Linked DNA regions of Sus scrofa. The protein of the gene in region 1 binds, or shares a complex with, the protein of each later gene. Links are inferred from orthologs where the notes say so. Each region holds a gene or a part of one and is shown in the gene's direction. Other genes may lie near its edges. The genes, in order: GNAI2 and P2RY12.

Evidence for each region.
Region 2: the proteins of GNAI2 (region 1) and P2RY12 are in contact, whole or in part, in a cryo-EM structure (PDB 7XXI), measured with the Homo sapiens proteins. The link is inferred for Sus scrofa from reciprocal best matches to the Homo sapiens genes GNAI2 and P2RY12. Residues at the interface, in NP_002061.1 of Homo sapiens: Arg24, Glu28, Ala31, Arg32, Leu195, Glu319, Ile320, Tyr321, Phe335, Phe337, Asp338, Ala339, Thr341, Asp342, Ile344, Ile345, Lys346, Asn348, Leu349, Lys350, Asp351, Cys352, Gly353, Leu354, Phe355; in NP_073625.1 of Homo sapiens: Phe59, Asp121, Arg122, Lys125, Thr126, Pro129, Phe130, Thr132, Asn134, Pro135, Ile212, Leu216, Ser219, Tyr220, Arg222, Thr223, Arg224, Val234, Lys237, Ile241, Leu301, Cys302, Lys303.

What each region holds. Positions count from the first base shown.
Region 1 is NC_010455.5:32,726,363-32,730,173, forward strand, and holds part of GNAI2 (guanine nucleotide-binding protein G(i) subunit alpha-2), read left to right. Parts: intron 1-1,709; coding exon 1,710-1,752; intron 1,753-2,008; coding exon 2,009-2,150; intron 2,151-2,320; coding exon 2,321-2,481; intron 2,482-3,811. UniProt on the Homo sapiens protein: Guanine nucleotide-binding proteins (G proteins) are involved as modulators or transducers in various transmembrane signaling systems.
Region 2 is NC_010455.5:91,569,341-91,573,612, reverse strand, and holds the start of P2RY12 (P2Y purinoceptor 12), read left to right. Parts: upstream 1-1,417; 5' UTR 1,418-1,667; intron 1,668-2,157; coding exon of another isoform or gene 2,158-2,293; intron 2,294-2,705; coding exon of another isoform or gene 2,706-2,815; intron 2,816-3,853; coding exon of another isoform or gene 3,854-3,943; intron 3,944-4,272. Other genes in the region: MED12L (mediator of RNA polymerase II transcription subunit 12-like protein), read right to left, coding at 1,176-1,337, 2,158-2,293, 2,706-2,815, 3,854-3,943. UniProt on the Homo sapiens protein: Receptor for ADP and ATP coupled to G-proteins that inhibit the adenylyl cyclase second messenger system. Not activated by UDP and UTP. Required for normal platelet aggregation and blood coagulation.

The sequences.
Region 1 (3,811 bases):
TTCCACTTCCCCACTGACCCCGCCACCCACCCTGCTGAGCTGGGCAGAGTGACAGACCTGCCACAGTGATCTGGAGGTTTGGGACACATGTAGATGGGGCATGTGGTACAGGTGTGCCCGGCAAAGAGAACTGCGTGGGCCAAGGCCTGGAGTTGGCAAGAGGCAGTACCTGGCAAGCGCAGGTGTGACTGGCAGTGATGGGGCAGAGCAGAGGGAACAGGCTGGGCAAAGGCTGGGAGGGAAAGCTGGGCCCAGCTGAGGTGTCCTCTACCTGGAACTTAGGACAGGGAGCAGCAAAGGGAAGAGCTGAGGCCCTGCCCCCACCTCCTCCACCCCCCTAACCAGGAGTTTGGTGGCCTTCTGGGTCTCACACTCCCTGCACAGACTCCCTGGGGAATGCAGGTTTCTGGGCTGCACCCCTCAGGATCTGGCTGTGTGTCTGGGATAAGGCCTGTGAGTCTCTGCCTTTTTTTTTTTTTTTTTTTTTTTATACCCACCTGAGGCATCATCCCATAGCATCTGTGCATATTTTGTTAAGGGCTGGGTAGGCCAGCCATCATTATCCTTCATGTCTTCCTGCCCTTCTGAATCCTGGCTACTGATCTTGGGCCAAGACTACTTTTATGAGCCTCAGTGTCCTCATCTATAAAATAGGGGAATCCATACCTATTTGTGGGGCCGCTGTGACAGTCACAAGAGAGCCCCTGGAGTTCCCATTGTGGCTGAGCAGGTTAAGAACCTGACTAGTATCCATGAGGATGCGGGTTTGATCCCTGACCTCGCTCAGTGAGTTAGGGATCTGGTGTTGCCATGAGCAGTGGTATAGATAGGTAGCAGTGGTGTAGTGGCTCGGACCCCATATTGCTGTGACTGTGGCGTAGCTCAGCAGTTGTAGCTCCGATTTGGCCCCTAGCCTGGGAACTTACATATGCTGTGGCTGTGGCCCTAAAAAAGAAAAGGAAAAAAGAGAAAGAGTGCCAACAAATCCCTCAGCACTGGTCAAAGAGAAATACAGGGTGGGCTCCCCAGGCCGGGGAAGTGTCTTGAGTTAGTATAGGGGTGTGTGTGTGTGTGTGTGTGTGTGTGTGTGTGTGTGTGTGTGTCTAACGCTGCATGTCTCCCAGGTCCTGGTCTCTCCGCCTGGAATAGACCTGGGCCCCGCGAGCAGGGGCCTGGGCCTTGGGCCATGTCTGGGAGGCAGGGGTGTGACACCATGCCCAGATCCAGGCCCCTTGGCAGCTGCCCCAGGCCCCAGGGAGAAGAGGCCTGCTGCCATGCTGGAGCGCACAAGGCTCCTTTTTGCCAGCTGCGCCAGGGCTCCAGGTTGGGGAGCCCTGGCCACGGTGTGGCAAGCCTCCCTGTGTGAGAATGACAGGGTGACTCCCGAGGGGCTGGCCTCAAGTCTCTGGCCAAAGCCCCTGAATTTAACCAGGGCAGTGGGATCCATGGTAGGCAGTGGAGCTCGTGGGAAGCCAAGGCCTGCAGTGAGTCCACCATGGGGTCCAGGTGGCCTAGGTTGCCTTCACCCCTGTGGCTCTGCCAGCCGTACCCCTGTAGCTCTGCTACCCACCAGGCCCAACTGCCCCCATCTCACTGTGCACTTGATGGGGAGGGTGAGTTCTGCCTCTGGGGCCGCATGGCTGGGCCGCTAGTTGCTTGCCTGTGTAGCCCCACTGGCCTGCGCTGACCGCCTATGCCCTTTGTTCCAGGTGCTGGGGAGTCAGGGAAGAGCACCATTGTCAAGCAGATGAAGTAAGTGCTGTGTGCAGGAGGCAGCCTCCAAACCTTGATTTCCCCTCTTCTTCCTCTGGGCCTGTCCTGCCCCCGAGTGTAGGCCCAGCCAGTGTGAGCCAGGCCCAGAACCTTTCCAGAGGCAGAATCCATCCTCAGGTCCCAGTGGTTCAGAGGCAGTTTCCTCCTCTCTGAAGTAGGTTCCCGCAGGCCCCAGCAGCCCCAGGCGACCACGTGAGGTCCCTGTGCACCCTAACCCCTGACCCCTGGCTGCCAGGATCATCCACGAGGATGGCTACTCAGAGGAGGAATGCCGGCAGTACCGGGCAGTCGTCTACAGCAACACCATCCAGTCCATCATGGCCATTGTCAAAGCCATGGGCAATCTGCAGATTGACTTTGCCGACCCCTCCCGTGCGGTATGTGGACTCCCCCGTCCTGCCTGCCCCCATAAGGCTTCAGGGCAAGTCTTGGCCTGGGGAAGATGAGAACACCCCAGCCTGGGCCCCGTTCCGGAGGCCTCCCTGCCTCTGACAGATGGGGTGGGGGTGCACTCCTGCACTGGCTGACCCCTCACCGCTGTGCCCAGGACGACGCCAGGCAGCTGTTTGCGCTGTCATGCACGGCTGAGGAGCAGGGCGTGCTCCCCGAGGACCTGTCCGGCGTCATCCGGAGGCTCTGGGCTGACCACGGTGTGCAGGCCTGCTTTGGCCGCTCGCGGGAGTACCAGCTCAACGACTCTGCCGCCTAGTGAGTGCTCCGAGGGGCTGGGCTGCGGGCACCTAGACCATAGCCTGGACCTGAGGGCCTGGGCGCCCTCAGACAGATATGGCCAGTCTCTTCATGAAGCTGCTGTCAGCCAAGGCCTTGGTGGTGTGGGGCTTGACCTGCTGCAGGATGCTGGTCACCCCACAGGGAATAGGGCAGATAGGCTGGCCCCTGTGGGGAGACATCCACAGGTTCTGGATAGTGTCACCCTGATGGGCTGCTGACCCCATACTCTCACATCCCCTCTCCTACCTCTGCATAGGTCAGTCTCTATATCTGAACACCTTTCCCACTCCACTACCCGTCGATCCTGAGCCCACATCACTCACAGAGACAGCCTTCCCCTGCTTGCAGTGAATGCACTTGGGAGTGTATGCCCCCCTCAGGAGCTGTGGGGTCACAGCCCTTCACCACGGGGGGCCTCCCAGAGGTCACAGACTCAGTGCCAGCAGAGCTTTTGGGTCCTGGAGGCGGGGAAGCATGGGTCCTATCAAAACCACTGCCATCACAGTGCCCAGGATACTCGAGGAGGTCAGGTCACCTTCTGGCCACTTCCCACTGTTCCACAGCCCCGTCCTTCCTTCTCCAGATGTTAAGTACCCATTGTGTGCCCAGCACTATTCTGGGTGTGGGGATTCAGCAGGGAGCCTGGGCTGTGCCCTCCTGGGCAGTTTTATGCCGTGACAAGATCACCTGGGGTGGGAGCAGATTGGAACATTCCAGGGAATGGGCACACTCCAGCCCCTCTTCACAGCCATCCTCCAAGGCAGTGGGTCCCTGGGGTGAGCCCACCTGTTGGGGACAAGGGAGAAACTGGTGTAGAACCCAATGGGCCTCTGGGCTGGAGGCTCTCAGTAGGGGCCAGGTCACAGCATATGCGTCATGGTCCCCCATAGCCCTTCCTGTTTTTCTGTTCTGTCCCTGCGTCTCTGAGTTCATTTCCCTCTGGCCTAGCTGCTGGTGGGAGTCAAGAGCGGGCTTAGGGAGTTCCTGTTCGTGGCTCAGCAGTTAACGAACCCAACTAGCATCCATGAGGATGCAGGTTCGATCCCTGGCCTCGCTCAGTGGGTTGGGGATCCTGTGTTACCATGAGCTGTGGTGTAGGCTTGGATCCCATGTTGCTGTGGCTCTGGTGTAGGCCGGCGGCTACAGTTCCGATTTGACCCCTAGCCTGGGAACATCCATACGCCACGGGTGCAGCCCTAAAAAGACAAAAAGACCAAAGAAAAAAGAGAGAGAGAGTTGGCCCAGCAGTCCTGCCCCAAGAGTGAGACATCAGTACTGGGCAGTGGCTGAGAGGCCTGGACCCAAC
Region 2 (4,272 bases), about 59 Mb from region 1:
TTCTGTTTCTGAAAACAAAAGTGTCTTATTTTTAATATTAATTGGTGCTTGCACTGGCATAGTAATTTGAGCAAATAACTGCTCAAAGCCTTCCATATGAACGCTCCCATTTCCTAACCATACACACTCTTCCACTCACCCACATTTTGACTGTTTCTTAGTATCTTTCTTGACATTACACCTCTTTCCTGGGTGCCAAGACCACATGTCCGCATGGCTTCCAGATGCGTCACCACTGGAGAGCCCACTGACACTGCAAACTCAACTTGCCCCTGACTCTAGCTTTATCCTCTCTCCACAACTATATGGTTATCAGCACTCAGGGCGCTCCAATTACTCCAGCACTGCATTTGCCTACGAGACACAGTCTCTCATGCCTTTGCAAAACACTTCCCTGTACCTGTATCACACTTTGCCCTACCTCCTGGCTAATTCTTAAACTTCCAAAATTATTCAAGTGTCGGTCTTCCTGAGGATCTGGCTCTGACGACCTACCCCTCATCTGAGTGTGATGGCCTCTTCCCGTTGTCCCCTAGCACTCCATACCAGGACACACAAACCTCACTGGAGTGTAACTGTCTATCTACTTCCCCTTAAGGGTAGGAGCTCTGTCTTACATCTCTGTGATTTCAGACACCTGTGGTTGCTCAATGTTCCCTGAAAGAATAGCAGACCATTTTCCTTGTGTTTTAGAGAAACTTGTTTAATATCATATATAAATCAAGTGTTCATTCAATATTGTTTGATAAGAAAATAAGGTGCTATCACTTTAAAAAGAATTGTTTACTCAAAACAGCTTACAAGACATAAGAATAAGAATTTTCTCATTCACTAAATGTATTCTATTTCCAGTTCTGCAGTAAAATCAAACGTGATCTTCCGTATTTCTTTTATACTAAGCTTGTACTTAGTTTTCCCGTGTTGGGCTTTAGAAATTCACTTAAACTCAGGGAAAGTTTTAAATGAAGATCTTCAAAGATCTGACCTATTTGTATAATAATGTCAATGACCACTGCATTCAAATGACAAGGATATGTTTTAAAAAATCAAGAAATAATAAACTTAAGATGTTTTATATGTCCTGTAGGAAGACAAGGAAACGTATTTTGTCTTTTTTTAAGTTCATGTATTTATATATATATATATATATATGAGAAACAAACATTTACTCTTGCCTGTTTTTTATCTATAGAGTCAAATCCAGCAATTTTGTTTCCCTTCGTGTCAATCAAGGAACCCATAGGTTCACAAGTGATAACATCACATGTCTGTTTTGGCAAAGGCAGCAACTGTCGAACTTTGTCAATACTTTCTGACCGCTTGTCTCCCAGTTCTTTCTAAAAAAAAGAAAAAGAGAGAGAGAAGTGGAACAGAAATTATAATGAAGGTAAAAGTTATAAGGAAGTTCCCCTGTGAAGCATTTCCTTTTTTTATAGCTGGAATGTTCTTTAACCTTAAACATGGTCTATGGCGCAGCTCTCATTGACAGTTTGTGAGTGTGTTTCACTTCTTCTATTTAAGTAGAAAATAGAACATGTATAAAGACCCTCTTATTACACAACAAACATCACAGTGCTGAAATGACAAAAATCCAGAGTAGTATTTGCAACCAGAAGGCAGGAGCTGCAGCATGGAACACGTTCTCCAATCCAGGGTCAGACTACAAGGTAACCATTGGTTATTTTATTAGTAAGGTCATCAGATATCTTGATTTCTTTTCTGAATTGTTTATTTACAGTTTATTTCAAAAACTGTGTTATTTCAAAAATTGTCAAAAAAGTGCCTAGTCAAATGAATCGAATCCAGAAATATCAATGCAAATGTGTATTTTTCAACTGCATGTTGCCAGTCTAAGAACAAATTTATCCTAAATCTAATGTTAGTATTTTGCTTATAGATTTGATAATGGATTTCTCAAGTTCCTTAAAAAATTGTGTATGTTTTATGAAATTTTTTTTAAGAAAAATCTTCAATCTTCAGCTATATATATACTTACAACTTTTGGGTACTGGGAAGCTGAAGTTAAGCAGATAGCAAAATAATTACATTGTATTAAGTTGAATGCAATAAATAGCACCTGATTTAAAGAGTGATAAAAAAGACAATATGCACTAGATAACAAACCACATACAACAGAAGCTCAGATCACAAACTTACTTTCAGTTTCTTTACTAAGTTCATGTATGCACGTTTGTTTTCTTCAGATCCCCCTGGGGATGCATTTGATAGGTCAGAGGCCAGTGTTCCATTGATTAAAACACCCAGCATATCAAGAACTGTTGTGAATAATTCACTAAGAGGAGAAAGAAAATATTTTCACCTTAAAACCAAAACCAAGATACTCTTAACTGAGCATTTTTATATAAAGCACAGAATTAATTTTTTTTAATGGCCACATCTGCAGCATATGGAAGTTCCCAGGCCAGGGATTGAACCCGAGCCACAGATGCAGCCATGCTGGATCCTCTAACCCACTGTGCCCGGCCAGGGATTGAACCCACACTGCTGCAGCAAACTGAGCTGCTGTAGTCGGGTTCTTAACCCACTGCACCACAGCGGAAACTCCTGGGCACAGAATTTTTTTAGTGGTACCTAAGGATATAAGATGTGGAAGAAGTTGTAATCAGTACATCAGAGCTTCCACCACGCAGGCACACACGCATAAATGCATGCAGCAAAGCCAACATGAAGTGATAAGAACATACTTGTTAGTGTGCATGTCGACGGTTCCAGAAGTAATGATCTGAAGGAGGAGGAGGGCCCAGTCTGTTGTCCACTGGGTGCTCCTCTGCACTGTGTCAAACATTCCTCCCACCTAGCACATAAAAAATACAACAACAACAATCTCCATAGTGTAATAAAGAAAATACCACCCCTATCACTTTATGCAGCCAAATTTCAATTTGTTTAAATTTTTTTTAAAAAGGTCCTCTAGTTTCTGGACTATCCTTTTTGCCACTCTTTTTGGTTCCATTAGCATAGGAACTGGTCATTCAAAAAAAAAAAAAGAGAGAGAGATAGAGAAGGAGTACCCAAGTGTGGACACATCATCAAAATGATTTACATACTAATATTCATCAGATTTCCTTTATTCCTAAGCTTTCATGACATCCAGTTTCATGATGTGATTTTAGTGTATTTAAATCTGAACAGGTCAAAACCATGTGATTCAGTTATCTTCAGACTTGTGTTGTCAACTATTGAATCTAAGCCTATTTATCAGAGTTGTCATAATAATATTTGGAAATAGCCTGTAACATGGACATAATGCTGAGCGGGAGGCTTCGCCCCCCAGGACTGCTCGTTCACCTGTGGGAATTTATATCAAATACCAGGCAAACCAGAGTAGCTTTTATAGAGGCTTGTGCAGTGAGAAAAAGAAAATTCAAAGGAATGTGCAATGGGTGAGGAATTTTAAGTCTCTGTAGAACCTCCCTATGGGATTTGTCTTTATGATCAATTTGATGAGAAGTTTGATAAAATTTTGACCTAAGGACAGTTTAATGTTTTTAAGTAAGTATAGTAAAAGCTAACCCTCATCTCAAATTAGTAGTTCTCTGAGACCGACTCCTGGCACAAATGGAAAAGAGAGAGAGAGTCACGGGGGCAGGAAGGGGGGTGGTTGTGCAGAAGGCAAAGCGATGCCGAAAATACCTACTGCCGTCTAGAAGCCAGACCAGACAGGAAGGATAGCAGCCAGGGAAACAGAAGGATTGAGAGACAAGGAAGAAGTAAAGAGAGCATACGGCCTCATCTTATAACGGGGACTATAGTAGGAGTGGAAAGCTGGAGTTATTTTCACATTTAGCTAAGTGTAACAGAGGGAAAGCACTAGACACATCTCTCATCTTACCAAATTCAGGCGGAGCTGCAATGCCTCATGCATCATCTGCCGTGCTTTTATGTCATCTTGGTATCGTTCTTCTCTCCAATTACTTAAAATCTAAGTTAGAAAATAGACGAAAAAAATAAAAACCCAAAACTTGTTTTCCCTATTCAATTTTATTTTTCTTCTTTTTAAGGTTAAACTGAACTTTTTATTGACAAAGACAACTTTTTCATTTAACAAATTAACAAATAAGGGGAAAATAAAATTTTAGCTTTCCTCCCCTTCCTCCAAGCAGATGGAAATCTGGTTATTTCTTTGTTTGTTATCTAATCATATATACCATATTAAGAAAAATCTTATCTCATCACACATCCTGTTACTGAGTTTTAGAAAATATTTAGCATGCCATTGAGTTAAGCATTAACAGAAATAAAGATTATTCT